Linked DNA regions of Mus musculus: region 1 is reported to be linked to region 2. Evidence: microRNA targets listed by miRTarBase, many of them from high-throughput screens and not tested one by one. Region 2 holds a microRNA gene; the other region holds the end of a gene's coding sequence.
What was found. The annotated mature microRNA mmu-let-7c-5p reads UGAGGUAGUAGGUUGUAUGGUU and lies in region 2 at 2,167-2,188, shown strand. An mRNA with a match to its seed (bases 2 to 7 or 8) in the 3' UTR can be bound and repressed. Matches are read on the target gene's strand: a 7mer-m8 pairs with bases 2 to 8, a 7mer-A1 pairs with bases 2 to 7 and ends in A, and an 8mer does both.

Region 1 (3,414 bases), not on the chromosome of region 2:
TATTAAATTCCACTTACAACTCTTTTCAAAAGACAAGCCATAAAGTGAAAGCACAAGTCCGTGACTGTCAGGGAGAGAACAAGGTTTGACTATAAATTACCAGGAATGGTAAAGGAGAGGCTAATAGAACTCTTCTGTCCTGTATTAATGATTACTCGGCTTTATCCATTTATCCGAGCTTATACAACTGCATCTAACTTCAATGTAAGATCTAAAAGGAAAAAGCTAAAAGCTTAATGCCATAAAATAAGCCCCCGTGTGACTTACGACACTTATATTAAGGAACAGGAAAGAGGTCTGTGCCTGCTAGGATTTGAGGATGGGGGCAGGACTATACTACAAGAGGACACAATAAGTTTGGGGAAATGCCACAAAATTCTCTTATCTTGATTATGATGGCAGGCCACCCCTGTTAAAAGGTGTCTAAATAACCGGGCGTGGTGGCGCACGCCTTTAATCCCAGCACTTGGGAGGCAGAGGCAGGCGGATTTCTGAGTTCGAGGCCAGCCTGGTGAGTTCCAGGACAGCCAGGATTACACAGAGAAACCCTGTCTCGGAAAAAAAAAAAAAAAAAAAAGGTGTCTAAACTTACAGAACCATAGAACCATGAAGGATGAGATTTATTGTATAAAAATGATTTTTAAGGGGAGAGTAAAGACCCAAGAAATTGTTTTAAGAACAAAGAAATATCCAGGCATGAAAGCAAACACCTGCAATCCCAGCACTTGGAAAGCTAATGGGGGGGGGGCCTAAAAAGTTCAGGACCACACTGGGTTATATGGGGGAAACTCTCTCTCTGTGCGTGCGTGCGCATGCTACCCCCAACCTTGAGATACATTAGAGTTAGAATATCTAAAGTCCCACATTATTTTGTTTCGCCCTGAGACTGCCTCTTACTCTGCAGCCCAGGCTGGACTCAGCTTCAGACATCTTCCTGCTTCAGCATTCTTAGTGCTTGGAGCACTGGTGTGAGCCACCCACCTGGTTTTAGTTCTATTTTATTTTGACATGATTATGTTCCCAAGAATCTAGATACTTTTATTTCTAATATATTATTGTCTAGCAAAACTTAAGATGAGATCAGTGAATTAAGTTGGACATCATTTAAAGAGACTTAGAAAGCATAGTTTTTCAATAAATACTACCATTTTTTAAAAAACAGAGCCGGGCGGTGGTGGCGCACGCCTTTAATCCCAGCACTTGGGAGGCAGAGGTAGGCGGATTTCTGAGTTCGAGGCCAGCCTGGTCTACAAAGTGAGTTCCAGGACAGCCAAGACTATACAGAGAAACCCTGTCTCGAAAAACCCAAAAAATAAATAAATAAATAAAAATAAAAAACAGAGTAGAGAAAATATATTTTAAATATATGACAACAGAAAATACCAGAGTGGTGTGCCCTTGTTGAAAAGGCAAAATAATGCAAACCAAAAGGCTAGCATAAGGTTTAAATTAGACTCAAGTTTGACATCTAGCACACCACCACTTACTGTTGACATGAGCACATTCTGTCGGCTTTCTGAGCCTTACCCCTTCCTGATACGGATATAGTGAAAGTTAAAGGTGGTAACTGTTTCTCATTGTTTAGTAGTTTGTGCTCAGCCCCTAACCGTCCAGAAAACAGGTACGGTCTACATTTCCTGAACATCCTGCAGCCAATGGCTTTCCAACTTACTATGATAGGTATACCCTTTCTAGAATCGTCATCCTCTACACTATCCCCAGACACTTCCAGAGACAGGAGACTCACACTATCCTTCTCTACTCCTACACTACCCAGATGAGGAGCTAGCTATTGATTTGGAAAATACACAGGCAAGAGCCTTGGCACTGAGATCTTGTAGGGTGATAAAAATGAAAAGGATCACCCATCCAGGGACAACCGCCACCTCCCCCGCCACTGCTACCAGGTTTCTCAGCAGTCTAGCCTTTAGGACATTTACCTGTCCAAAAGGTTAACCCTTATCAGCCTAACTCACAGGGTACGACACAGGAATTTAGAGTCCAAGGTACATTGTCAGCACTTGGACTCTGCTTATTTGCTTTTTAAATAATTACAAATTCTTTTTGTTGTTTTATTGTTCACTTTTCGAGACGGAGTTTCTCTATGCAGCCCTGGCTATCCTGGAACTTGCTCGGTAGACCAGGCTGGCCTGAAACTCACGAGATTCATCTGCCTCTGCCTCCAGAGTGCTAGGATTAAAGGTGTATGCCCAGCTGGACTCTGCTTATTTGTTTTGGGCTGTTTTGTTGAGAAAGGGTCTTGCCAGATAGTTCAGGCTGGCCCATAACTTACAGTCCTCCTAGCTCCAGTCTCCCAAGTGTCAGGGTTATAGATATGTTGCCACCATGCCAAGAGTCTGCTGATTTTATTTACCTTAGAAAACACAGTGGGAGCTGGGAATGGTGGCAAAAGCCTGTAATCCCAGTACTTGGGAGGTTGAGTAAGCAGACTCCCCAATGATAATGATGGATGGTAATGATGGTAATACTACAGCTTGGTAATAGAATGGTTGTCTAACATTTGTGAGAACCTATTATGTTCAATCCCTGGCACCACAAAACAAACACAAGGTCATTTTCAAAGACAGGAAGGATTAAGTAGAGGGTAGTAGGGTTTGGCAGCTCCAGACCTTTGATAAGAATGGAGGGCACGGCAGCAGAAGATACATGACATGGAGGTGTTCTCCTATTAAGTACATCAGGGAGAATGGAAAGGCATCTGGACTCTCCCATCGCACGGGAAGCAGTACTTGCAGTATGAGGGGGAAGGTCAGCTGCTCAGTCACCTGCACAGTCATCGGAGTTGCCAGAGAGGTCAAGCATGGACATCATGGAGTCAGACAACTTAGTGGCGATTTTATCTGTAGAGGGAGAAATACAGGCAATCTCTGGGTAGCTGCCTTAGCCAACAGGCCTGCCACACGTAAATAAAATCACTAACTTGGCCCATACCAACCTCCAAATCGGCTCAGTTACACGTCTAATCATTCAACAAAACAGGCCATTACACCTGTCAACCTCACAAGGAGATCCATTCACCTATAAGTGATCACCCCAGCATAGTTTCTTTCTCATGATTTCAGACTCGAAGGATTCCAAGTATTTTTGTGTCTTCTGAGTACTAAAATAATAATTTCCTTCTATTGTGTGAACTTAGCATTCCTCCATTACCCCTACCCACCCCCAAACAATCACTCATAGCAATGGAGTGCACACTAGTACTAGCTTTGAACTTGAGTGCTTACCACTCACAGTCTCATCCTCAAGATACACTTGTTCCTCGGGGTTCCCTGAGACTTCTCCAGACTTCTCCCTCTTCTGATCAGCCCTATCTCCAAGCTGGGCTAAGCTTCCTAGAAGTGCTTATTGTGTGTGTGACCTCACGGTGACTGTTCTACACTGCCACTGTTTGTT
Region 2 (3,414 bases):
GTAGGAGAATGATTTGAAAATAAATAATGGTGAAAATTTGTGTAGGCCAAATTATCTGTATTAAACTGGAGAAAATACATTCTATTTTTATTTATTTCAAAACATGCCAAATCATGAAGTAATTACTATGCAGTATTATTTTTCACAATGAAGATATAATTAAGAAAAGCTAAATCATTTTAGATATGAGTGCAATGATTAACGATTGTACAACTTATAATTTTGCTTCAGATGAGCTTAGAATCCTAAAAATGTACATGTAACTGGCTTCATGTGTGCTTACTGGCTTGCTTTCTTACAGTGTAGTAGCTGACAGAATTAAGAATCATTTATTTCATTTCAACCTGTTGAACAGAGGAATTATATGTAGCTGTGTATTTTGTTGAAAGGATATAGTTCTTGGGAAATAGATTTAAATGTGTTTTGTTGAAAGGGAATGTATGCTCCTTGGTGTGATATAAGCGACTACAAATATTCCAGAATAGCAGGAATAACACCGATCATGTCATTGATTTTAGGGTTTTTTGATACCATATCTTTTCCTCACTGCTGTAAAAGTTTAATTTCATCCCCACTGTAGGCACATGTCTGTACATCTAGAATTTGTGGGTTTTGTGTTCTTTACCTAGTCAACAAGACCTCATTTGTTTATAAAAAGCTATAATGTGACTAAATCTCAAAAATCATTAACTGAGTTTTATGTGAATAAATACAGTCACTCTAGTGCATATACAGTTTAATAACTTCCTTTTTAGTTGTAGACTTATCATACTATATCTGTGCCTCACAACAGTATAATTCATATGTACATATATTAGGTTCTCAATTAGGACATTTTAACAACAACGTTAAAATATTCACAGTTTAAAACAAAAGCAATCTTTAAAAAAGAAAAAATCAAGAAGAAAAGAGAGAAGTAAGAAAAGAAGAAAGGGAGGGAGAAAGAAAGAAAGAAAGAAAGAAAGAAAGAAAGAAAGAAAGAAAGAAAGAAAGAAAAGGAAAGAAGGAAGGAAGGAGAGAAGAAAGAAAGAAAGAAAGAAAGAAAGAAAGAAAGAAAGAAAAGAAAAAGGAAGAAAGGAAGAAAAAAAAGAAAGAAAAGAAGGAAGGAAGGAAGAAAGGGAGAGAGAGAGGAAGGAAGGAAGGAAGAAAGGGAGAGAGAGAGGAAGGAAGGAAGGAAGGAAGGAAGGAAGGAAGGAAGGAAGGAAGGAAGGATGGATTTGAAAACTACTTTTTAATCCTCATGCTTGTAACCCTATATTTAAGTCAGTGTATTTCTGAAGACCTTTACTGGGAATATGCATTCTGAGAGTCCAGCCTTTAAAATATTTACACTAAGATATTAATTTTATTTTTATCCCCTACTTCTTCTGTTAGATATTCAGAGCAAATGCTACGTTAGTAAAAGGTCCCTGTGAGACGATGCCCATTGACATAAACCCGTAGATCCGATCTTGTGGTGAAGTGGACCGCGCAAGCTCGTTTCTATGGGTCTGTGGCAGTGTGGTGATCTGACAAAGCACTATGTAAGTGTTGCTCACTCACATCTCAATACACTCCTGCTCACACTCCAGTCCTCTACACAACCTCGGAACAATAGCATTTCCATTGTTCTTCATGGATCTTTTAATCCTCTCATGTCTTACAAGGCAAGTTTTAATTGTTGACTTTCTGGAAGGATTTGTAGCAGAGCCATTCAAGGCTAAATACAAGTGCAATAAACTGCTTTCAAAAGGTTGGTGTTTTTAAATAGCTGGCTTTGAGCAAACTCTGCATAGCTGTTGTCATGAAACTTTGGCACACTTTTTCTTGATGGTTAATGTGTCTTATCTATTTCAACAACATAGTAAAGTCTATAACTAGATTATTATGTTACAGTTGAGCCAGTTTCTCTTCAAAATCAAGGCATTATTCTACTTTTAAATTTGCTCGCTGCTAATGGAAGTGTGGTCAAGGAGATGTTAGAAGACACTTCATGTGACCTATACTGTAAACTCACCAGATTAGGGTAGTCCTGTAAGCTACAACTGAAGTTGATTTGTAAACTGCTAGAATATTCTATCTACAACCTTGCCAAGCCCTTAGGTGTTTGGCCGCCATATTTGGAGGAGCGGACTGAAGATATGATAAGGAGTTTGAAGAAACATTGGAAGCTGTGTGCATCCGGGTTGAGGTAGTAGGTTGTATGGTTTAGAGTTACACCCTGGGAGTTAACTGTACAACCTTCTAGCTTTCCTTGGAGCACACTTGAGCCATCGAGGAATTCTCCATCTCTTTAATCTGACTGAGCCAATTTCTGTTCAAGAAAGTAATGTGTCATGAGTCCATGAGGCCTTAATGCATTACCTGATCATTCCAGACCTGATGGTTAGGATTCTGCTTGTGTCTACTTGTAAGCAATGACACAACGCTATTTCTCACGGGCTGTTATTTTGTGTTTACCAGTCTAAAGAACAAATGGGTAGTGAATTAAGTTGCATTAATATTGAAACTTTGGTTTCTTTCATCAATGGAATCACAAAATTTGGCATTTTCAAATAGATTATTGGTCCTTTTTAATTTCATACTTAGACACTACAGAAAGATGTTTAAATGTTAATAAATTTCATCATATATTGTCTGAGTTTTCTCATGACCCATCACTTTCTATCTTATGTTATACCTATAGATATGTTTACTTATATTTTCCACACTAGACTGTAAGCCCCTTGAGGGCAAAGTACACGTCTTATTTTTATTGTATTCTTTTAGTACTTATACATCTTAAACAGTAAATTTTTACAGGATCAATAAATGAGCTATAAGATTTCACTCTGTTAAGATTTTTTAAATTTGAAATTCCTTTATTGACCCAATTAAATTTTCATAACCTTAAGTTCCAGACTCTTTCTGAGTCAGTAAAATATTGATTTTTTTTACTGTTTTGATTTATTCTATATATACAATTTGAAATTTGGGAATACTTTCTCTCTGGAGTAAAGAGTAGAATGAAGTTACTGCTTACTTCAGCATAGTCTCTAGTTTTAAATAATGCATATCTATGTTAACCATTTACATATCTTTTTTCCAGATAATGTGTTTTTCTTTTTAATAGCAATTTCAACTATAGGTTGCTTTAAAAGTCTCCAATAATTTTAAAACTCGGATTTTTACATTTTATGTGGTTTTCTTCTCGTCTATAATCTTTATTTTTCAAATAACTGATTTTTTTTTTTATGTTGTGAGCTCCACAAACAGGTCATGAAATATAATGATTACAAAAGGATGTAAAATGCAATTTTAAAATTTGGAAACATTTTTATTTAAAGGAAAGGCATATTATCTTAGCACGTAATAAAAGTAAATGAGACTTTCTAGAACAGTTTTTTTCTTTGCAGTCCATGTTAGTGTGTTCCAGTGTTCCAATATATATATATA

Region 1: miRTarBase lists Gnl3l as a target of mmu-let-7c-5p. Seed matches in the 3' UTR shown: 7mer-m8 at 1,211-1,217.

The regions. Positions count from the first base shown.
Region 1 is chrX:150,983,326-150,986,739 of GRCm38, forward strand. Gnl3l (guanine nucleotide binding protein-like 3 (nucleolar)-like) reads right to left here. Exons shown (of 16, transcript NM_198110.2): 16 at 1-2,861. The coding sequence ends at 2,779. Among named protein-coding and RNA genes, the nearest start is that of Gnl3l, 32 kb to the right of the region's middle.
Region 2 is chr16:77,597,506-77,600,919 of GRCm38, forward strand. Mirlet7c-1 (microRNA let7c-1) reads left to right here and starts at 2,152; the gene lies at 2,152-2,245. It overlaps Mir99a (microRNA 99a), which reads left to right and starts at 1,431; the gene lies at 1,431-1,495.